Arabidopsis thaliana: one gene and its partners. The protein of the gene in region 1 interacts with the protein of each later gene in a pairwise test. Each region holds a gene or a part of one and is shown on either strand. Other genes may lie near its edges.

Evidence for each region.
Region 2: the proteins of ERS1 (region 1) and TRP1 interact in a two-hybrid assay, tested with the Arabidopsis thaliana proteins (one study listed by BioGRID).
Region 3: the proteins of ERS1 (region 1) and EIN2 come close enough for resonance energy transfer, tested with the Arabidopsis thaliana proteins (one study listed by BioGRID).

Annotation. Positions count from the first base shown.
Region 1 is NC_003071.7:17,083,821-17,091,186, reverse strand, and holds ERS1 (ethylene response sensor 1), read left to right. Parts: upstream 1-3,860; 5' UTR 3,861-4,107; intron 4,108-4,342; 5' UTR 4,343-4,367; coding exon 4,368-5,273; intron 5,274-5,368; coding exon 5,369-5,737; intron 5,738-5,817; coding exon 5,818-6,084; intron 6,085-6,162; coding exon 6,163-6,290; intron 6,291-6,380; coding exon 6,381-6,552; 3' UTR 6,553-6,866; downstream 6,867-7,366. Other genes in the region: BZIP17 (Basic-leucine zipper (bZIP) transcription factor family protein), read left to right, coding at 861-2,598, 2,937-3,364; AT2G40935 (PLAC8 family protein), read right to left, coding at 6,971-7,135, 7,224-7,366. UniProt on the Arabidopsis thaliana protein: Ethylene receptor related to bacterial two-component regulators. Acts as a redundant negative regulator of ethylene signaling.
Region 2 is NC_003076.8:5,954,755-5,961,907, forward strand, and holds TRP1 (tryptophan biosynthesis 1), read left to right. Parts: upstream 1-2,325; 5' UTR 2,326-2,575; coding exon 2,576-2,793; intron 2,794-2,903; coding exon 2,904-3,015; intron 3,016-3,367; coding exon 3,368-3,511; intron 3,512-3,623; coding exon 3,624-3,785; intron 3,786-3,899; coding exon 3,900-4,172; intron 4,173-4,255; coding exon 4,256-4,346; intron 4,347-4,424; coding exon 4,425-4,484; intron 4,485-4,573; coding exon 4,574-4,692; intron 4,693-4,771; coding exon 4,772-4,927; 3' UTR 4,928-5,316; downstream 5,317-7,153. Other genes in the region: AT5G17980 (C2 calcium/lipid-binding plant phosphoribosyltransferase family protein), read left to right, coding at 1-1,991; VDD (VERDANDI), read right to left, coding at 5,317-5,553, 5,644-5,939, 6,043-6,331, 6,618-6,719.
Region 3 is NC_003076.8:784,550-794,382, forward strand, and holds EIN2 (NRAMP metal ion transporter family protein), read left to right. Parts: upstream 1-2,878; 5' UTR 2,879-3,048; intron 3,049-3,581; 5' UTR 3,582-4,039; coding exon 4,040-4,288; intron 4,289-4,432; coding exon 4,433-4,519; intron 4,520-4,609; coding exon 4,610-4,720; intron 4,721-4,811; coding exon 4,812-5,024; intron 5,025-5,105; coding exon 5,106-5,291; intron 5,292-5,401; coding exon 5,402-8,062; intron 8,063-8,139; coding exon 8,140-8,517; 3' UTR 8,518-8,855; downstream 8,856-9,833. Other genes in the region: IDH-V (isocitrate dehydrogenase V), read left to right, coding at 9,494-9,685, 9,831-9,833. UniProt on the Arabidopsis thaliana protein: Central factor in signaling pathways regulated by ethylene (ET) and involved in various processes including development, plant defense, senescence, nucleotide sugar flux, and tropisms.

The DNA of each region.
Region 1 (7,366 bases):
ATATGCTTTGTTTTACTTTTATAGCCCCCTCGATTACGAAACACGTATAGTTTGGTATCAAGACAATTGTAGAGATTATGTATGGTGAGAAATTCATATCTTTGCAGTCACCTTAAACGCAATCTATTTGAGATTTGTGAAATCAAGAAAGTAATTATATAAAAAAAAAAGATATATAACGAATCGCGAAAAATTATTACTAAGTTTATTTTTTGGGAGATAAATGATATATTCCCCAAGTAATTTACGTAAATTATTTTAAATGAACTATTAAGTCAATTATATATTTAAAAGAAATCTTAAAACTGATATCCTAATTTATGAAAAAAAAATAATAATTTAAATCTGCTTTCCCAAATATTAAATGAACTATTAAGTCAATTCTTTAAAAATAACAGTTTAATATTTTTTTGAAGATCAAAATTACTACTTACTATCTTAAACATATATAATAGTCAATCAAAAACAAATTCAAAATTAAAAAACCCACTAGCACATCATAAAATTTAATTTAGCTACTCTTAGGAAAAGTGTTATTCAAAATAAATTTCCCAATTTATTTTTCTAGATTTGCTGTTTATCATTTATTTTGGAAAGCGATTAATTTTGGATATTATAAGTTTCATGAATCACTAGTGTAAGTTAGCGAGTATGATTCCGGAGCGTAAGACCCACGCGCAGTAGACGAAGACGGAAGCAAGCACCTTCTACTTCCTCTTCCTCTTTGTCTTTAAACCCCTCGTCGTCTTTCTCCCGTGTTCTAACCTCATTCCTCCATAACCCCTTTCTTCCTTTTGAATCTCTCCTTCTTCTTCTTCATCCCCAAATTCGAAACCCTAACCCTAAAACTCAGTTTCAAAATGGCTGAACCAATCACCAAGGAGCAGCCTCCTCCACCTGCTCCGGACCCTAATTCCACCTACCCTCCTCCGTCCGATTTTGATTCCATCTCGATCCCTCCGTTAGATGATCATTTCTCCGATCAGACTCCGATTGGTGAACTAATGTCCGATCTGGGGTTTCCCGATGGTGAATTCGAGCTCACTTTCGACGGTATGGACGATCTTTACTTCCCTGCTGAGAATGAGTCGTTTCTCATCCCTATCAATACGTCCAATCAAGAACAGTTTGGTGATTTCACTCCGGAGTCTGAAAGTTCTGGAATTTCCGGTGATTGTATTGTTCCCAAAGATGCAGATAAGACTATTACAACTTCCGGTTGCATTAACCGGGAATCTCCTAGAGATTCCGATGATCGTTGCTCCGGTGCTGACCATAATTTAGATCTACCGACTCCATTGTCCTCTCAGGGTTCGGGTAATTGCGGTTCTGATGTTTCGGAAGCTACAAATGAATCGTCGCCTAAATCGAGAAACGTTGCGGTCGACCAGAAGGTTAAAGTGGAAGAAGCTGCTACGACGACGACGTCTATTACCAAGAGGAAGAAAGAGATCGATGAGGATTTGACTGACGAGTCTAGGAACAGTAAGTACAGGAGATCGGGAGAGGATGCTGACGCTAGTGCTGTTACCGGTGAAGAAGATGAGAAAAAGAGAGCTAGACTCATGAGAAACCGTGAAAGTGCTCAGCTTTCTAGGCAGAGGAAGAAGCATTACGTCGAGGAGCTTGAAGAAAAGGTTAGGAATATGCATTCTACGATTACGGATTTGAACGGTAAGATATCGTATTTCATGGCTGAGAATGCTACTCTAAGGCAGCAATTGGGTGGCAATGGAATGTGCCCGCCGCATCTTCCACCACCTCCGATGGGAATGTATCCACCTATGGCTCCAATGCCTTATCCATGGATGCCTTGTCCTCCTTATATGGTGAAGCAACAAGGATCTCAAGTGCCTTTGATTCCTATTCCTAGGTTGAAACCACAGAACACCCTTGGAACATCCAAGGCTAAGAAGTCCGAGAGTAAGAAGAGTGAAGCTAAGACCAAGAAGGTGGCTAGTATTAGTTTTCTGGGTCTTCTGTTTTGTCTATTTTTGTTTGGTGCATTAGCTCCAATTGTGAACGTTAATTATGGAGGAATTAGTGGTGCTTTTTATGGGAACTATAGATCTAATTATATTACTGACCAGATTTACAGTCAGCATAGGGATAGAGTTTTGGATACATCTCGTAGTGGTGCTGGTACTGGGGTTTCTAATAGTAATGGGATGCATCGTGGGAGAGATTCTGATCGAGGAGCTAGGAAAAATATATCTGCAACAGAGAGTTCTGTCACTCCTGGAAATGGTAGTGAGCCTCTAGTTGCATCACTCTTTGTTCCGAGGAATGACAAGCTTGTGAAGATAGATGGGAATTTGATTATCAATTCTATATTGGCGAGTGAGAAAGCCGTGGCTTCGAGAAAGGCTTCTGAATCAAAGGAGAGGAAAGCTGACTTGATGATCTCTAAAGATTATACCCCTGCACTGCCTCTACCTGACGTGGGAAGGACAGAGGAATTGGCTAAGCATCTCTATAGATCTAAGGCTGAAAAACAGAAAGCTCTATCCTCTGGCTCTGCTGATACTCTGAAAGACCAAGTCAAAACAAAAGCAGCCAACGGTGAAATGCAGCAATGGTTCCGTGAAGGTGTTGCAGGTAATCATGGGTTTTTGATCTTACTTTCTGTTCCCTTGACTTGGTTATGTAGGCAGGCATTGTAGGTATACTAGTCCTTATCATATCTTGATATTAGACACAAGAACATTTTAATGAGGCTTAACTTACCTTCAGCAAATCTCTGGTCATGAGTAGATGTATTGTATAATCTGGATTAGATACTAAACACTAATAAGGAACATGTGAAATTGTTACTCATATTGTATATTTTTCTTCATCTTTCTCGGCAGAAGCTGTAAGCGCAGTAGTAGCGTTTATATCTTTCTTGTTCACTAAATAATAACACCTTTTTTGTTTGTTAAATGACTATATTGTAGGTCCCATGTTTAGTTCAGGGATGTGCACTGAAGTGTTTCAGTTTGATGTATCCTCAACCTCTGGAGCCATCATTCCTGCAGCTACCAACGTCTCTGCTGAACACGGTAAGAACACCACAGACACACACAAGCAACAGAACAGAAGAATCCTTCGTGGTCTTCCCATTCCACTCCCAGGATCAGATTTTAACCTCACGAAAGAGCACCAAAGAAACAGCAGTAGCAAAGAAATCAAGCCTGCTTCATCAATGGTTGTATCTGTGCTTGTTGATCCCAGAGAAGGAGGTGATGGAGATATAGATGGGATGATTGGGGGACCAAAATCACTGTCTCGAGTTTTTGTAGTCGTGCTTCTGGACAGTGCAAAGTATGTAACATACTCCTGTGTCCTACCTCGATCAGGAGCTCCTCATCTTGTGACCACTTGAAGACATATGAGGATTGAAACATATATCAGCAGGTCTTCTCTCATATAGGCTTTGTATGTAAAAGAATAAATACCTGCTCTCTGGTATCACGTAATATCCTTAGCTAATACCGTTGTCCGGTTTTTGTTTCCAGATGTAGAATCCGAATGCTGTAACTTTTTTTTTTTACCTTTTATAAACTCATAGCCTTAGAAAGTTTTATCAAACCTCTCATATACATTGCAAAAGTCGATGACCAAAAAATGTCATTCTACAATAGAAGCTGAAATCCAAGTAGACAAAAGTGATCAGTTAGTTGATTCCATGGTTTGAGCCAAGGGGGCATCGGTGATAGCAGGAGAATATGAGCACACAAGTGACAGAAGAAGAAGTCTTTACCTGAAGGTCGACGGAGAGAGAATTGGATTAGCATGAACCCTCAGATTCATGAACCTGAGCTCACTTTTAAAATTTCTTTATTTCATTGTCAGAAAAAGAGAGCTAATAATATTATTATTTAAATGTAACAAGTAGGCCTATAACACGTGAACTTCCCTCTTTGCAAAAAAAAAATCATCAAAAACTTTTACCTCTCATTGGTTTCTTCTTTATCACACTGTTACGCTTGGATTCTCATTTCTTCAAGTTCATAACGCTCGGATCAATCAGGAAGACGAACTTGAACTTTCTTTTTTTCATCATTACCCAAAGCTATGAGGCTCACACCACCAATAGCTCCGCCGTCATGAATCCTTCTCTTCCAGGTACTGTGCCGTCTCGGGATAACAAACTTTCTATTTATTCTCTTCTGATCGGATCTATCTATCGATGAAGATTGATTTCACTACTTTAGTAACATTTCATCTGATCGATCTGTGTTGTGTTATCGAGGAATCAATCTCATTTTGTAGATTCAATTTTCTGGATAGATTTTGTATCTCTTTTCCATAGCTCTAGTCCAAATCTAGTCTCCACTGATATCTGAGTTTTGTTGACCAGGTCAACACAAGTCAGAGCTCCAAAAATGGAGTCATGCGATTGTTTTGAGACGCATGTGAATCAAGATGATCTGTTAGTGAAGTACCAATACATCTCAGATGCGTTGATTGCTCTTGCATACTTCTCAATCCCACTCGAGCTTATCTATTTCGTGCAAAAGTCTGCTTTCTTCCCTTACAAATGGGTGCTTATGCAGTTTGGAGCCTTTATCATTCTCTGTGGAGCTACGCATTTCATCAACCTATGGATGTTCTTCATGCATTCCAAAGCCGTTGCCATTGTCATGACTATTGCTAAAGTCTCTTGCGCGGTTGTGTCGTGTGCTACCGCGTTGATGTTGGTTCATATTATTCCTGATCTTCTCAGTGTTAAGAACAGGGAATTGTTTCTCAAGAAGAAAGCTGATGAGTTAGATAGAGAAATGGGTCTTATTTTAACACAAGAGGAGACTGGTAGGCATGTTAGGATGCTTACTCATGGAATTAGAAGAACTCTTGATAGGCATACTATTTTAAGAACCACTCTTGTTGAGCTTGGTAAAACTCTTTGTCTTGAGGAATGTGCGTTGTGGATGCCTTCTCAAAGTGGTTTATATTTGCAGCTTTCTCATACTTTGAGTCATAAAATACAAGTTGGAAGCAGTGTGCCGATAAATCTCCCGATTATTAATGAACTCTTCAATAGCGCTCAAGCTATGCACATACCTCATTCTTGTCCTTTGGCTAAGATTGGGCCTCCGGTTGGGAGATATTCACCTCCTGAGGTTGTTTCTGTCCGTGTTCCTCTTTTACATCTCTCTAATTTCCAAGGCAGTGACTGGTCGGATCTCTCTGGCAAAGGTTACGCTATCATGGTCCTGATTCTCCCAACCGATGGTGCAAGAAAATGGAGAGACCATGAGTTAGAGCTTGTAGAAAACGTGGCGGATCAGGTCCATCTCTTTACTTGTATATGTTTGGTTGTGTGTCAAGTTGCTTTACCAGCTTTTAGTGTTTTGTTTTGTCCCCTGACTCTCACTTCATTCAGGTGGCTGTGGCTCTCTCACATGCTGCAATTTTGGAAGAATCCATGCACGCTCGTGACCAGCTTATGGAGCAGAATTTTGCTTTAGACAAGGCTCGTCAAGAGGCTGAGATGGCAGTACATGCTCGAAATGATTTCCTAGCTGTTATGAACCACGAGATGAGGACACCGATGCATGCCATCATCTCTCTTTCTTCTCTTCTCCTTGAGACTGAGCTGTCTCCAGAGCAAAGAGTTATGATCGAGACAATACTGAAAAGCAGCAATCTTGTGGCTACACTAATCAGCGACGTTCTGGATCTTTCGAGATTGGAAGATGGGAGCTTACTCTTGGAAAATGAACCATTCAGTCTACAAGCGATCTTTGAAGAGGTAACTAAATCCCCCTGATTAACCAGTGAAGTCCATTATATATGTCTTACATGAATAACATGGGCGCTTTGAATCTGCAGGTCATCTCTTTGATAAAGCCAATCGCATCAGTGAAGAAACTATCAACGAATCTGATTCTGTCTGCAGACTTACCAACTTATGCTATTGGTGATGAGAAACGTCTGATGCAAACAATTCTTAACATCATGGGCAACGCTGTGAAATTTACTAAGGAAGGCTACATCTCCATAATAGCCTCTATCATGAAACCCGAGTCCTTACAAGAATTACCATCTCCAGAATTTTTTCCAGTTCTCAGTGACAGTCACTTCTACCTATGTGTGCAGGTTAGACCCAATCTACAAATTACTAAACTACAAAGTTAAGCTTCTTACTGTGTTCTTACTGTTATAATCATGGTGCAGGTGAAGGACACAGGGTGTGGAATTCACACACAAGACATTCCTTTGCTCTTTACCAAATTTGTACAGCCTCGGACCGGAACTCAGAGGAACCATTCCGGTGGAGGACTCGGGCTAGCTCTCTGTAAACGGTAACAACCCAAAAGTATATATAAGTTATAAGCAGATGGTGTTACAAATAGCTAAAAGGCAAGTTTCTGTTGATGGATGTCTCTGGTTAGGTTTGTCGGGCTAATGGGAGGATACATGTGGATAGAAAGTGAAGGCCTAGAGAAAGGCTGCACAGCTTCGTTCATCATCAGGCTTGGTATCTGCAACGGTCCAAGCAGTAGCAGTGGTTCAATGGCGCTACATCTTGCAGCTAAATCACAAACCAGACCGTGGAACTGGTGATACATTACGTTGGAAAGACTTGTATTGAGGTGAGACTTTTTAACTACACAGCAGCAAGAGAAAGAAGAAAATACATGACCGGACGGTGTGATCTAACTTATTGGATTTTGTTGGATGTAATATGTAAAATAAAAATCCTATATACGGGGAGAGGTACCTTATCTGTTCTCACTATATTTTATTGAACATTACTTTAGAGAATATGTTTTGGAATTCACTACTAAATAAACGATATAAATCTTCACGAAAAGAGCAACATTTTGTGGTTGTGGCAGATTCACAAATTCTTTTTTATATATGATAAATTACCTTAGAAAGTTTTACTTACTCATCAAACTTCTCAAATACATTGCAAAAGTCGATGAAAAGAAAAATGTCTTCTACAAAATAAACAAGGAAGCTCAATGAGACAAAGTGATCAGTTAGCTGATTCCATGGTTTGAGCCAAGGGGGCATTGGTGATAGCCATCTTCATGTCAAGAGGATATGAACCACTGCTTTGTTCTCGAATCTCTCTGTATTCTTGGCAAATGGCACACAAGTGACAGAAGAAGTGTGTTACAAAATCCCCACATGGAGCCTCCTGAATCAAAGAATGTTAAATCAGTCAGAAGCGCCACATACATACCTAATGGTATTATCCACATATGTGTCGTTTGAGAAATTCTAACCTGTAAATTGTACTTGGCTCTTAATGATTTGCGGTACCCGCAAGCATAACATGACACAAAGCATCCCGGTAGACCGAGCAATGCGCCATTAGTTGCAAAGCAGCAAATGGTATTGACCAAAGCCCAGGAGATGCAATGGGTTA
Region 2 (7,153 bases), on another chromosome or scaffold:
CCGTGTGGGATTCATCGACGGGAATCGAAACCAGCCAATTCCTTGGTGGAATTTGCTTCGACGTGTCAGAGATTCCGCTCCGAGACCCGCCGGATAGTCCATTAGCGCCGCAATGGTACCGTCTCGAAGGTGGTGGAGCTCACAACAGTGATCTAATGCTTGCCACGTGGACAGGAACTCAAGCAGACGAATCATTCCCCGACGCGTGGAAAACTGATACAGCCGGAAACGTGACCGCACGAGCGAAGGTTTACATGTCGTCGAAGCTGTGGTATCTACGCGCTACCGTGATAGAAGCACAAGACTTGTTACCGCCTCAGTTAACGGCGTTTAAGGAAGCGTCATTTCAGTTAAAAGCTCAGTTAGGTTCCCAAGTTCAGAAAACCAAATCCGCCGTTACTCGTAACGGAGCTCCGTCATGGAACGAAGATCTACTCTTCGTAGCCGCCGAACCTTTCTCCGATCAGCTTGTTTTCACGTTGGAGTATCGAACATCGAAAGGACCAGTCACCGTCGGAATGGCTCGCGTGCCACTCAGCGCAATCGAGAGACGCGTCGACGATCGCTTGGTTGCTTCGAGATGGTTAGGATTGGAAGATCCAAACGACGAGAAGAGAGGAAACAGATCTAGAGTTCACATTAGGCTTTGCTTCGACGGAGGTTATCACGTGATGGACGAGGCGGCGCACGTGTGCAGTGATTACCGACCTACGGCGAGGCAGTTATGGAAACCAGCGGTGGGAATCGTCGAGCTCGGTATAATCGGTTGCAAAAATCTATTACCGATGAAGACGGTTAACGGAAAAGGATCAACGGACGCGTACACGGTGGCGAAATACGGTTCTAAATGGGTCCGTACCCGAACCGTGTCGGATTCTTTAGATCCGAAATGGAACGAACAGTACACGTGGAAAGTATACGATCCGTGTACGGTTTTGACTATAGGAGTCTTCGATAGCTGGGGAGTATACGAAGTCGACGGTGGAAAAGAAGCCACGCGTCAAGATCTAAGAATTGGAAAAGTACGTATACGTATATCGACGCTGGAGACTGGTAAAGCGTATAGAAATACGTATCCGTTACTGATGTTAGTTAACGGCGGCGTTAAAAAATTGGGAGAGATAGAATTGGCCGTTAGATTCGTGAGAACAGCTCCACCGTTGGATTTCTTACACGTGTATACTCAACCGTTATTGCCTTTGATGCATCACATTAAACCGTTGAGTTTGTTTCAAGAAGATATGTTGAGGAACACTGCAGTGAAGATCTTGGCCGCACATTTGTCACGATCTGAGCCGCCTTTAAGGCCGGAGATAGTACGGTATATGCTCGACGCCGATACTCATACTTTCAGTATGCGTAAAGTCAGAGCAAATTGGCTTCGGATAGTGAATGTAGTCGCCGGAATGGTCGACGTGGTGCGGTGGGTTGATGACACCCGTTTCTGGAAGAATCCGACATCAACTTTACTAGTTCACGCACTTGTCGTGATGCTGATTTGGTTCCCGGATCTTATCGTACCGACATTAGCGTTTTACTTGTTCGTGATTGGTGCGTGGAATTATAGGTTCAGGTCACGTGCTGCTCTACCACATTTCGATCCAAGACTCTCGTTAGCTGATGCAGCTGATAGAGACGAGCTCGACGAGGAGTTTGACGTCGTACCGAGCAACCGACCACCGGAGATGGTTCGGTTGAGGTACGATAAGCTACGAAACGTCGGAGCTAGAGTTCAAACGATTCTTGGTGAAGTGGCTGCGCAAGGGGAGAAGATGCAAGCTTTGGTGACGTGGCGTGACCCACGAGCGACTGGTATATTCGTGGGGCTGTGTTTCTTTGTGGCGTTGGTGTTGTATCTTGTGCCGACGAAGATGGTGGCTATGGCGTCAGGGTTTTATTACTTCCGGCATCCTATTTTCCGTGATCGGAAACCTTCTCCGGTGTTAAATTTCTTCCGGCGACTACCATCATTATCTGATCGGCTCATGTAATATTGTTTTTTTTTTTGGAGGGGATGTATATATAGTTTGGGTCGTTTAACCTTGTTGGGCCTTATTGGGTTATAATGGGCCACTAAATGGATTTTTATATGATTTCCTATTATAGGTGCTGTGTTTGACCATGTCTAAAACAAAGAAGTGTTTGGTATGACAAAATTGATGAACCTACTTTTTGAGCAGAGTGGTAAATGTGCGGAAATAAGCACACAAGGAAATCGTTGTTGGTGACTAACAAAAGGAGTTATCCACTGCCCAAGCATTACCAACTACCACCAACCAAACTCAATTTGGAAATTTCAAAGGTCCATTAGTCAAAGCAGCATTAAGTCATTCAGTAATCAACAAATATATTCATATGAAACCCAAAATAAAATAAAATAAACACTTTTCAAGAAAAAAATAAAATACTGAGTACTAAACTGGAAACCCTTTATAAGCAAAAAGACCAAAAGTTAAAAGTTAATTAAGATTTGGTTTAAGGCGCTTTGCTTTATTAGAGAGGAAGGAACGAACCATCATAGAAATCTCTCCTTCGTTCAAGTTTTTCTCTACTGTGTTGGTTGAGCAATCGAGTGATGGTTATTGCGGTGGCGACGACGAGCTCCATTGTTTCCGGAATCAAGCTTTCAGGGATCTTAACTTCGTTCAACGCCGTAGATGATGCGTCCAGTAGTTGCGGAAGAAGCAACTTGACCGGAGTTAGAATTTTTCCGACATTGAGTCGGCGACGATTCTCATCGATCGGAGCTGTTTCCCCAATTCGTGGGGATGCTCAATCTTCCTTTAGTCGCAGGTAAAGCCTCGATTTTTGGGTTTAGGTGTCTGCTTATTAGAGTAAAAACACATCCTTTGAAATTGTTTGTGGTCATTTGATTGTGCTCTTGATCCATTGAATTGCTGCAGCTCTTTCGCTTGCTCTCAGAATCTCGGTTTGAGCGGTGGATTTAGTGCAGCTGAAGCTCTGCCACCTGCTTGTGCAAATGCTAGCCCTTCTTCCATTAAATCTTTCAACCAGGTGACTCTTCATTTCTATTTTCAGGATAAGTTTGTGGTTTGATGATCCCTTGTTTCTAAGTCTCTTGATTTGTGAACAATTCAGGGTTTTTATATATCTGTATCTGTATTTCTGAGTTGGGTTGAGTTATTGGCTTCATGCTGACTAAACATGTTTGGCCCTGTGTGTTCTTCGAATTTCATTTTAATTGCTTGATGGGTTTTATTGACTTGAGTAAAAGTGTACTACTTTATAGGTTTTAAAAGAGTTTTACTTTTGGTGATTTTCCAATGGCTTTGAAGAGAGAGATTTAAATCATGGGGTTACTATGTTCTCATACTGCGTTTGCTCTGTTCTGTTGTTTTTCTTTCAGTTGATTGAAACCTTGATTGATCGGGTTGATCTATCTGAAACTGAGGCTGAATCATCTCTTGAGTTTTTGCTGAATGAGGCAAACGAGGCGCTGATCAGTGCCTTTCTAGTTCTTCTGAGAGCTAAAGGAGAGACATACGAAGAGGTAAGTATCCATTAAGTCAATCTAGGCTTATAATAAAAAAGTATACATAATCCTATATTACTGCACTTCAATAAGTTAACTCAACGTTCACTTTAATTCGGATATTGGGTAGATTGTGGGGTTAGCTAGGGCAATGATGAAGCATGCCAGGAAAGTGGAAGGATTAGTTGATGCTGTGGACATAGTTGGAACAGGTGGTGATGGAGCAAACACAGTCAATATATCAACTGGATCTTCAATACTTGCTGCAGCTTGTGGTGCAAAAGTAGCAAAGGTATAACGAATGAGAAAATCCTTAAAAGAAACGATATATTTAAATTTTGACTATCTGCATTAATGCTAAATGATCTTCGTCTGGTCGTCTAACTAATGGATACTTATTTTGCAGCAAGGGAATCGTTCAAGTTCTTCTGCTTGTGGAAGTGCTGATGTACTAGAGGCACTAGGAGTGGTTCTGGACTTGGGACCAGAGGGCATTAAAAGATGTGTTGAAGAAGGGGGGATCGGTTTTATGATGTCACCAATGTATCATCCAGCTATGAAGATCGTTGGTCCTGTTCGGAAAAAGCTTAAAATTAAAACTGTTTTTAACATATTGGGACCTATGCTTAATCCTGCTAGAGTTTCTTATGCTGTCGTTGGTGTATACCACAAAGATCTGGTACATTTACTTATTGCTGAAATTAGTTTGTTCATCAACAAAAACAAGACATTTACTTACCATTTGCTTGTGTGGTTTCATAGGTTGTTAAGATGGCAAAGGCACTGCAACGATTTGGAATGAAAAGAGCACTGGTGGTTCATTCATGTGGTCTAGACGAAATGAGTCCGTTAGGTAAGATTATCTCTTCCCAAAATTGATTACTTTTATTATTGAACAATTATTAACCAATCATGGCTTAACGAAAAACAGGAGGAGGACTAGTTTATGATGTAACTCCGGAAAAGATCGAAGAATTCTCATTCGACCCATGTAATGTTTCCTCTAGCTTTTTATCCCTTCTCTAAAATGAATATTGCAGATGCAGCTTAATGAAATTGAAGCTTATTTCTTTTTGACAGTGGACTTTGGTATTCCTCGTTGTACTCTTGAGGATTTGCGAGGTGGAGGTCCAGACTACAATGCGGATGTGCTAAGACGTGTGCTTTCAGGGGAAAGTGGAGCAATTGCGGATTCATTGGTATGTTTTGATTTGCCGATTCAACATTCTCTGAACTTCTGCAATTTGTTCATCCTTTTTTTTCAAAATCTTGTTTCAGATCCTAAACGCAGCTGCAGCTCTTCTGGTTAGCAACCGAGTTCAAACGCTAGCTGAAGGAGTAACCGTGGCACGTGAAGTACAATCGTCTGGGAAAGCTATCAAGACGCTTGATTCTTGGATAAACATCTCAAACTTAGCTCAGAAATCTCAGTGACCAGAAGAGGCTTATGATATTGTTGTATTCAACGGATCACCTTTGCAAGCAATTGTAGATGAAGATGGAGGCAATGTGCCAAAGGAAGAAGCTGGAGTTATTTGTAACTTAAGTTTTCTTTGTCAAACAATAAAGAGAAGAGACCGGAGCGAGCTCTATACACATTCATCATGTAAACACTACAACAATAATCTTTAATAAAATGAATAAATCTGTTTTACTCAAACGGAGTTCAGATTCATCATTGGGATACAAATCAAACCTAAGTAGTAAGTAGAAAAACAAAATTATAAAATTAGTCCTAACATTGAATCACAGACCATAATCTTGTTCCGAAGTTCTTCACTAATTCTGCAACTACACCTAAAATATCATCATCGTCATGGTGTCTATTCTTTGGAGACTTTCACACGCATCTCTGTCGGTTTGATGAGCTTGAACGTACAAACATCTCCGACCAGTAAACCTAACTCCTTGGCCAAACGACTCCATCCACCAGAGAATCTTGATTGTACATCAGTGACCACATATGTAACATCCCATGACTTCTTTCCTCTCGGATAATGAATCTTGAACATCGTTGTCTCAGTTGGCATATGCATATCCACAAATTTCTTTGGGATCCCCTGAATCACAGATTTTCATTAGATTAATACACACTTTTATACATAGCCATTTCGACAGTGTGTCACTGGTCTTGTCTTGCTTAATCTTACCAAGAACAGAAGGTGTGATTTCTTTATGGTGAGCTTGAATTCTGGAATAAGAGATGAAGTACCGGCTTCAGAGTCGTTACTAACAGTTTCCACCTTCTTCTTCTTACTCGTCTTGGATTTTTCGGTTTTATCGGCTTCCTTCTTTCTCAAGTTAAGCTCCTGTTTCTGCGTCAATCTCCCACTTGTAGATTCAGCTGTTTTGTGACAAGGATGGCTCGATTCAGACCAAGACTCTATCTCTTCTTCCTTCTTCACATCTTTGTAGATGCTCTTCCTCTCTTCTCTCTTGTTCCGACCTGTTTGCATCAAAATCAACCACAGAAGTAACTAATGACTGTATTCTTCTTCTTCTTCTTCTTAAGCATAAAGAAAGCAATAACATAGATGATGAACACTTACCGGAACTAGAAGTAATGGTTTTTCTTGGTCTAAGCATCTCCGTACCATCTGCCTCGAATATGGTTACATTAAAGCACATATTTGCCTCATGAGTGAAAGTAAGATACTCGTTTTCACCCAAACCGTTGTCATTCACAAACTGGTTCCATCCACGATCTTCCATGTAGTGAAAATTTGGGTTCTTGGAGATTTTAACTTGCCATGACCTTCCCCATGGTACTCTTAAGACCATCTTAAACGATGAAGACTTGTCGGAGATGCTTCTTATCAAGTGATGAGGAATCATTCTCTTCAGAGAGGCAACAAAATCAAGAAATATGGAACATCAGGAAATGGTAAAATGAAGTCACATTCCTCAATTTCAGTGATAAGTACAGTAAATAAAAGTTTACTGATCGATGTACAGTCAAAATCCATTTGGTCCGATCCGATCATTTCACACATCAAAACTTAGTTAAGACCAAGAACAGACAGATCTAAGTTCAGGACACTACAAGAGACACACTGAAGAACCAATAGATTCGATCTTTAATTTAAGAAAAAAGGCTAATAAGAAAATAAGTGATAAGGCTTACCATCATTTCAGTCGAATGATCTTCCCTTCGAAGAATCTTGAAGAATGCTGGATTATCTCTTTCTTCCATAATCTGACCAAAAAAAGCTTTGTTTTTCACCATCTCTGCTTCTCTCCTTCGATATGATCTTTCTTCAAAACCTCTCAGTCTTAACTCTTTAATCCTCTTCACTCTATCTCCTCAGTCACTCACTCGCATCTTCTCTTTTCAACTTTTCTATCTCACTCACTCGCTACTTCTCTTTCTCTCTCTCTGGTTGTGGGCAAAGAATGGGTAAAAAGAGAGGTCTCTTAAAACTTTAATTTCTAAAAACAGCCAAAGTGTTTTATTTTTCTGCATTAACTTTGAAATTAATTTTACTTGTGGTTAGTTGGAAAAGATTCCCATGAATCATTAAACTTTTGTGATTCGTAATTTGATATCGTAATGATACACAGAAACAGCAATATGCTCGTGACTTCCCAGACACGTAAAAAGCAGAGCAAATTCCTATTTTTAGTAACTGAATTCTAAAAAGACAGCGTCATATTTCCATA
Region 3 (9,833 bases), on another chromosome or scaffold:
GTCTGAGCTACAACTTTCGATCTAAAGTCCTGAGCCAAGCAATCTTTAATTATAGAAAATCATTACATAATCTCGAATTGTTTAAGTTACTTAAAATTCATATGTCTCCTCCTAAAACATCCCCGATTCGATCTTATTCTTCTGGTCTCCACGTAATAACTCACATACATTAAAAAAAGAACAAAAATAAAGAAAACCCACTTGATTAAACGAAAACATTTGTTGAATCGAACCAATTAATTGAACAATAAACGAGTTCTGATTTGTAACTGACGTCTCATGTTTCGAGGTTAATTACTAAAATTTTCAAATCTCCAATTCTTATGAACCCACCCACCATGTGTTTTAAGCCCAAGAGAGATTCAGTGAACCAAGAAGGAAAATAATTTAAATTGTCCCTTACACTAATGAAAGGTTATGTTAACAAAAATCCATTTTATTAATAGATTGATAGTACTAATAAATAAATATTTGGACACAAAGCCCAAAAGATCACAATCTAGTTAAAAAAAGATCGACAAGAAAGATTCTTTAAGCTGATGAATGATCTGTACCATGTAGCTTTGTTCCCTTTTTGGTTAACTGCCCAAACAACATCAACGAGACTTTATAAAAAAAAAACTTCCTTATGACCAAACTAAATAACTGAAATTGATTTATTAGTCAAAACATATTAAAGAACTTATTTGTATGATATCATTATACATTCCATATGTAACTGAAATATGACTATCTTGACTCTTTGAAGAATTCTGACTTTTTTTATTCAGTCAAACTTTTAAATTGTGTTGGTTACTCATCGGTACGGATAAAAAAATTCGTATGTGTTATTTCAAAAGTACTTGAAGAATATTGTTTCTATATATATTTATAGTGTTATAAAAAAACAAGTGTGGTCTCTATGTTATGGTTCATTGAACATATACATCAACATAGGACTGAGAGGAGCCCATGTTCCTTTCATTGATGCAAAATTTTAGTTTCTTGTGTTTTAATTTGCTTCCTATCCAATGTACATGTATATATACTTTCACAAGAGAATATGGATAATGTTGAGTATGTTAAATATATAGTGACAAGTTACATAAAAAAAGCCTAAAGAAATCAAATTGGAAAAAATAGTAAGGTACAATGTATGGTTATCGAAAGCCCAAGCTGTACTTCCATTGATGTAGGAGATGATTAGGAACACGTGGATTATATTTGACCAAAAATAGTAGAAATTCTATTTATATTTGTTTTCTTCTTTTGGTTTTGGGTTTGATTTTGTGATTTGGATAGTTCGGTTAAGGATGGTTTGATCAATCAATATAACCATACTAAAATATGATTCAGTTAACTAACTATAGTAACTGTTTCTTCGTTAGTAAAATGATACATTTATTGGAATCTATTGACAAATCTTAATGACTTATTATAACTGGTGATAACAAAATCTAGCTATTATTTTGTATCCAACTACATATTTTGTATAAAATGGAAATTCGTATATGATATTTGTTTAGTTTAAAAGTAGAGTGTATTTGTTTTTTCAATGATGATTTAATGAAATCAAGCTCTTAGTTGAGATCAAAAGACAAATAAAACAAAATGTTTTTTTTTGTTTTGTTTCTTTTCTATTTGAGGGAAGGCCATGAATTCTTATTTTTGACAAATAGTTGTTCTATGCAATTAATATTGATGTCTAATACATATACAGCAGAATAAATAAAAACTTGCTATATAAAGACGTATTATTTATAGCATTCTGTGGAGTATAATGTCGAATCCTGTTCTCATTTCCGATTTTACATATTTATGGTACTAACGCCTTCATTTATTTTTCCATTTTCGTTAGTCAACAACTTCAGCTTTTGATAACGCCTAATTGTATCATCAACTTTAGTTAGTTTTCTCAAATAACGTCATTTTCAAATAAAGTTTTTGATTTCTCTTTTATTATATTTATGCAAAAGGAAAATTATAATTTCAGTATTTTGCAGAACGCTGAAATGTATAATAGAACCTATTCATGTATTTTTGTAAAATTTTAAAGATTGTTTTAATACTAAAATAAGTAAATCATTAAAAAAATTCCTAGACATTGGTCTCTAATATAAGATAAATAGATCTAAATTATGTTTGGATTTTAATTCTAATAAAAAGGTAGCCAAAAGTTATATATACAATATTTAAACAATTTTATTTGTTTAAGATTTGAATTTTATAGTATGCGAGAATCGCGTAAACTTTTCTCGAATGTAACAAAAAATTTCAAATCTTCTCGACACATGTAATCTTTTGCGAGTTAGAAGATTTGATTCCTTATTTTTTGTTCGTATTCTTAAAGTTAGTCACGTTTATATTATTTTTCGCTTTGTAACCGTCCCTTTAAATTTTTAATAAAAATTAAAAAAATTGCTAGAAAACAACATTTTTGTATTACTCAAATCAAAAGTACAAAAATAAATTTAGCTAGCGTTTCACAAAATCAAGTAAAATAATCTCCATTTGAAACTCCATAATCAAGCTGTTTGATGTATTATTATTACATGTAATGAGGAGAAAGAGGGGTCGAGAAATTTAAAGTAATAATAATTCTCTTCTTCGTCCATGGAATAAACTACGATTAGTTTAAAAAGATTAATAAAGATGGATTAAAGAAACTATATGTTAAACCTGGAAAATTTATTTAAAAAGACGTTTTTTTAGCTATAAGAAAAAAAAGAATAATACCTTTATTTTTACATGTTATTTACAAGTAATAATTTTTTTTTTCTCTCTCTCTCTTTGAAGGTGGCACGAGCACCCATAACCTTCAGACCTATAGATACAAATATGTATGTATACGTTTTTTATATATAAATATTTTATATAATTGATTTTTCGATCTTCTTTTATCTCTCTCTTTCGATGGAACTGAGCTCTTTCTCTCTTTCCTCTTCTTTTCTCTCTCTATCTCTATCTCTCGTAGCTTGATAAGAGTTTCTCTCTTTTGAAGATCCGTTTCTCTCTCTCTCACTGAGACTATTGTTGTTAGGTCAACTTGCGATCATGGCGATTTCGAAGGTGACTTCTTTCAAAAACCCTAATCCTCTGTTTTTTTTTTTATTTTGCTGGGGGGCTTTGTACGGACTTTCATGGGTTTTTGTAGCTTTTCCCTCGGCTTTTGCGCAAATGAGACTTTCTGGGTTTTTTTTCCAGCTTTTTATAATTTCATCAGGTGGATCGAATTCGTAGTTTCAGCTTAGATCTCTCTCCCTCTTCATTATCTGGACTTTCCAGACTTGGAGTTCTTCGGGATTGTTTTCGGTTTCTGGGTTTTGTTTTAATTGCGAGATTTAAGCTTTTTTCTTTTTTACTACTGTACTTGGTTTGTGGTTGACCTTTTTTTTCCTTGAAGATCTGAATGCGTAGATCATACGGGATCTTTGCATTTTTGTTGCTTTTCGTCAGCGTTACGATTCTTTTAGCTTCAGTTTAGTTGAAATTTGTATTTTTTTTGAGCTTATCTTCTTTTTGTTGCTGCTTCATACTAAGATCAATTATTGATTTGTAATACTACTGTATCTGAAGATTTTCACCATAAAAAAAAAATTCAGGTCTGAAGCTGATTTCGAATGGTTTGGAGATATCCGTAGTGGTTAAGCATATGGAAGTCTATGTTCTGCTCTTGGTTGCTCTGTTAGGGCTTCCTCCATTTGGACCAACTTAGCTGAATGTTGTATGATCTCTCTCCTTGAAGCAGCAAATAAGAAGAAGGTCTGGTCCTTAACTTAACATCTGGTTACTAGAGGAAACTTCAGCTATTATTAGGTAAAGAAAGACTGTACAGAGTTGTATAACAAGTAAGCGTTAGAGTGGCTTTGTTTGCCTCGGTGATAGAAGAACCGACTGATTCGTTGTTGTGTGTTAGCTTTGGAGGGAATCAGATTTCGCGAGGGAAGGTGTTTTAGATCAAATCTGTGAATTTTACTCAACTGAGGCTTTTAGTGAACCACGACTGTAGAGTTGACCTTGAATCCTACTCTGAGTAATTATATTATCAGATAGATTTAGGATGGAAGCTGAAATTGTGAATGTGAGACCTCAGCTAGGGTTTATCCAGAGAATGGTTCCTGCTCTACTTCCTGTCCTTTTGGTTTCTGTCGGATATATTGATCCCGGGAAATGGGTTGCAAATATCGAAGGAGGTGCTCGTTTCGGGTATGACTTGGTGGCAATTACTCTGCTTTTCAATTTTGCCGCCATCTTATGCCAATATGTTGCAGCTCGCATAAGCGTTGTGACTGGTAAACACTTGGCTCAGGTAAACATTTTTCTGATCTCTAAAGAACAAACTTTTTAAAATAACAAACTGGGCTCTGTGGTTGTCTTGTCACTTTCTCAAAGTGGAATTCTACTAACCACCTTCTCTATTTTTCTAACATTTTAATGTTCTTTACTGGGACAGATCTGCAATGAAGAATATGACAAGTGGACGTGCATGTTCTTGGGCATTCAGGCGGAGTTCTCAGCAATTCTGCTCGACCTTACCATGGTAGTTACTTACAATCTTTGCTGTTCTTAATTTTTTTATTATGTGATAAAATTTTGATTCCTCTGACTTGAGCTTCTCTATTATAAACAGGTTGTGGGAGTTGCGCATGCACTTAACCTTTTGTTTGGGGTGGAGTTATCCACTGGAGTGTTTTTGGCCGCCATGGATGCGTTTTTATTTCCTGTTTTCGCCTCTTTCCTTGTATGACTGGTCTTCCTGTCTTGTTTTTTTTCTCCACGTTCTTGAAATAGCATTATTGGAAATTAGCTGACATGCATACAATTTCTGACAGGAAAATGGTATGGCAAATACAGTATCCATTTACTCTGCAGGCCTGGTATTACTTCTCTATGTATCTGGCGTCTTGCTGAGTCAGTCTGAGATCCCACTCTCTATGAATGGAGTGTTAACTCGGTTAAATGGAGAGAGCGCATTCGCACTGATGGGTCTTCTTGGCGCAAGCATCGTCCCTCACAATTTTTATATCCATTCTTATTTTGCTGGGGTACCTTTTTTCTCTTTATATGTATCTCTCTTTTCTGTTAAGAAGCAATAATTATACTAAGCAGTGAACGCTCTATTACAGGAAAGTACATCTTCGTCTGATGTCGACAAGAGCAGCTTGTGTCAAGACCATTTGTTCGCCATCTTTGGTGTCTTCAGCGGACTGTCACTTGTAAATTATGTATTGATGAATGCAGCAGCTAATGTGTTTCACAGTACTGGCCTTGTGGTACTGACTTTTCACGATGCCTTGTCACTAATGGAGCAGGTTTGTTCTGACGGTTTTATGTTCGTATTAGTCTATAATTCATTTTTAGGGAAAATGTTCAGAAATCTCTCGTGATTATTAATTATCTTGTTCTTGATTGTTGATCACAGGTATTTATGAGTCCGCTCATTCCAGTGGTCTTTTTGATGCTCTTGTTCTTCTCTAGTCAAATTACCGCACTAGCTTGGGCTTTCGGTGGAGAGGTCGTCCTGCATGACTTCCTGAAGATAGAAATACCCGCTTGGCTTCATCGTGCTACAATCAGAATTCTTGCAGTTGCTCCTGCGCTTTATTGTGTATGGACATCTGGTGCAGACGGAATATACCAGTTACTTATATTCACCCAGGTCTTGGTGGCAATGATGCTTCCTTGCTCGGTAATACCGCTTTTCCGCATTGCTTCGTCGAGACAAATCATGGGTGTCCATAAAATCCCTCAGGTTGGCGAGTTCCTCGCACTTACAACGTTTTTGGGATTTCTGGGGTTGAATGTTGTTTTTGTTGTTGAGATGGTATTTGGGAGCAGTGACTGGGCTGGTGGTTTGAGATGGAATACCGTGATGGGCACCTCGATTCAGTACACCACTCTGCTTGTATCGTCATGTGCATCCTTATGCCTGATACTCTGGCTGGCAGCCACGCCGCTGAAATCTGCGAGTAACAGAGCGGAAGCTCAAATATGGAACATGGATGCTCAAAATGCTTTATCTTATCCATCTGTTCAAGAAGAGGAAATTGAAAGAACAGAAACAAGGAGGAACGAAGACGAATCAATAGTGCGGTTGGAAAGCAGGGTAAAGGATCAGTTGGATACTACGTCTGTTACTAGCTCGGTCTATGATTTGCCAGAGAACATTCTAATGACGGATCAAGAAATCCGTTCGAGCCCTCCAGAGGAAAGAGAGTTGGATGTAAAGTACTCTACCTCTCAAGTTAGTAGTCTTAAGGAAGACTCTGATGTAAAGGAACAGTCTGTATTGCAGTCAACAGTGGTTAATGAGGTCAGTGATAAGGATCTGATTGTTGAAACAAAGATGGCGAAAATTGAACCAATGAGTCCTGTGGAGAAGATTGTTAGCATGGAGAATAACAGCAAGTTTATTGAAAAGGATGTTGAAGGGGTTTCATGGGAAACAGAAGAAGCTACCAAAGCTGCTCCTACAAGCAACTTTACTGTCGGATCTGATGGTCCTCCTTCATTCCGCAGCTTAAGTGGGGAAGGGGGAAGTGGGACTGGAAGCCTTTCACGGTTGCAAGGTTTGGGACGTGCTGCCCGGAGACACTTATCTGCGATCCTTGATGAATTTTGGGGACATTTATATGATTTTCATGGGCAATTGGTTGCTGAAGCCAGGGCAAAGAAACTAGATCAGCTGTTTGGCACTGATCAAAAGTCAGCCTCTTCTATGAAAGCAGATTCGTTTGGAAAAGACATTAGCAGTGGATATTGCATGTCACCAACTGCGAAGGGAATGGATTCACAGATGACTTCAAGTTTATATGATTCACTGAAGCAGCAGAGGACACCGGGAAGTATCGATTCGTTGTATGGATTACAAAGAGGTTCGTCACCGTCACCGTTGGTCAACCGTATGCAGATGTTGGGTGCATATGGTAACACCACTAATAATAATAATGCTTACGAATTGAGTGAGAGAAGATACTCTAGCCTGCGTGCTCCATCATCTTCAGAGGGTTGGGAACACCAACAACCAGCTACAGTTCACGGATACCAGATGAAGTCATATGTAGACAATTTGGCAAAAGAAAGGCTTGAAGCCTTACAATCCCGTGGAGAGATCCCGACATCGAGATCTATGGCGCTTGGTACATTGAGCTATACACAGCAACTTGCTTTAGCCTTGAAACAGAAGTCCCAGAATGGTCTAACCCCTGGACCAGCTCCTGGGTTTGAGAATTTTGCTGGGTCTAGAAGCATATCGCGACAATCTGAAAGATCTTATTACGGTGTTCCATCTTCTGGCAATACTGATACTGTTGGCGCAGCAGTAGCCAATGAGAAAAAATATAGTAGCATGCCAGATATCTCAGGATTGTCTATGTCCGCAAGGAACATGCATTTACCAAACAACAAGAGTGGATACTGGGATCCGTCAAGTGGAGGAGGAGGGTATGGTGCGTCTTATGGTCGGTTAAGCAATGAATCATCGTTATATTCTAATTTGGGGTCACGGGTGGGAGTACCCTCGACTTATGATGACATTTCTCAATCAAGAGGAGGCTACAGAGATGCCTACAGTTTGCCACAGAGTGCAACAACAGGGACCGGATCGCTTTGGTCCAGACAGCCCTTTGAGCAGTTTGGTGTAGCGGAGAGGAATGGTGCTGTTGGTGAGGAGCTCAGGAATAGATCGAATCCGATCAATATAGACAACAACGCTTCTTCTAATGTTGATGCAGAGGCTAAGCTTCTTCAGTCGTTCAGGCACTGTATTCTAAAGCTTATTAAACTTGAAGGATCCGAGTGGTTGTTTGGACAAAGCGATGGAGTTGATGAAGAACTGATTGACCGGGTAGCTGCACGAGAGAAGTTTATCTATGAAGCTGAAGCTCGAGAAATAAACCAGGTGGGTCACATGGGGGAGCCACTAATTTCATCGGTTCCTAACTGTGGAGATGGTTGCGTTTGGAGAGCTGATTTGATTGTGAGCTTTGGAGTTTGGTGCATTCACCGTGTCCTTGACTTGTCTCTCATGGAGAGTCGGCCTGAGCTTTGGGGAAAGTACACTTACGTTCTCAACCGCCTACAGGTAACAAAAACCGCAGTAGTTCATTGAAAATCACAGTTTTGCAGTTTGAAAATATTGACATGTATGGATTTAAACAGGGAGTGATTGATCCGGCGTTCTCAAAGCTGCGGACACCAATGACACCGTGCTTTTGCCTTCAGATTCCAGCGAGCCACCAGAGAGCGAGTCCGACTTCAGCTAACGGAATGTTACCTCCGGCTGCAAAACCGGCTAAAGGCAAATGCACAACCGCAGTCACACTTCTTGATCTAATCAAAGACGTTGAAATGGCAATCTCTTGTAGAAAAGGCCGAACCGGTACAGCTGCAGGTGATGTGGCTTTCCCAAAGGGGAAAGAGAATTTGGCTTCGGTTTTGAAGCGGTATAAACGTCGGTTATCGAATAAACCAGTAGGTATGAATCAGGATGGACCCGGTTCAAGAAAAAACGTGACTGCGTACGGATCATTGGGTTGAAGAAGAAGAACATTGTGAGAAATCTCATGATCAAAGTGACGTCGAGAGGGAAGCCGAAGAATCAAAACTCTCGCTTTTGATTGCTCCTCTGCTTCGTTAATTGTGTATTAAGAAAAGAAGAAAAAAAATGGATTTTTGTTGCTTCAGAATTTTTCGCTCTTTTTTTCTTAATTTGGTTGTAATGTTATGTTTATATACATATATCATCATCATAGGACCATAGCTACAAACCGAATCCGGTTTGTGTAATTCTATGCGGAATCATAAAGAAATCGTCGGTTTGAAATGTTAAATCTCCTAAACCGGATCTCTGCACGTAGCTGACACATCGACGCTAGATTACTGACACGTGTCCTTATCAATATTTCTTCTCGAAACGTCTTACTGTTTCATAAAGTCCTTCAAATTTCTGGGGAACTAAGAAAATCCAGCAGAGTAACTAATCCAATGGGTTATGTAATCTACATATCGTTCCCGGCGATTCTTCTCCTTCTGATCGTCGCTATCGCCTTTTATCTCATCGGACGAAAAATCGGCCGGAGAGAAGGGATTCAATCAACGTCGCAGTTACACTACGGACCGCCGTTGGCTAATTTTCCGGCACCTGCACCACCGCATAAAGCTATGGAGAAGCCACCGGAGCCGGTTTAGTGTATGTATGATGACGTAATAATACTTACGTATTACGTAAACGTTCTATATATGTAGTTTGTGTGTTAAATAAGATGTAATTGGGCCGATGCTGAAACCAATTTTAAAACAACTCTTTATTGGGCCTGGGGTTTAAGGAAACACTTCGTGCCGTTTAAATTCCGTACTCACCTAATGCAACCTAGAAACTACGCAGCGTTTTGACGGAAGAAGAAATATTCGCTTCTTCTTTTACAACTTTTGTCCCACAACGCAGAAAAGTCCTCTCTTTCTCTCTCTCGAATAATAATTTTTCATTTGCTGCGTCCTTTTGGTGCTTGAAGCGATGACCATGGCAGCAAATCTAGCGCGACGGCTGATCGGAAACCGATCGACTCAGATCCTTGGAGCCGTGAACTCTAGCTCAGGTGCGGCTAGTTCTGTCGCTAGGGCTTTCTGCTCCTCCACCACTCCGATCACCGCAACTCTCTTCCCTGGCGATGGGATCGGTCCCGAGATCGCCGAATCTGTCAAAAAGGTCCCTCATCCTAATCTCTTTTCTGCGCAGAATTTCGAGTTCTGGAAGTCATAGTTACGAGATAATTGTTTGATTGAATTTTGTACGATAATTTGTGGGAATTCGGCAATTTTGTTGATAGTTTTTGCGTTTTGTACTGATCCAGGTG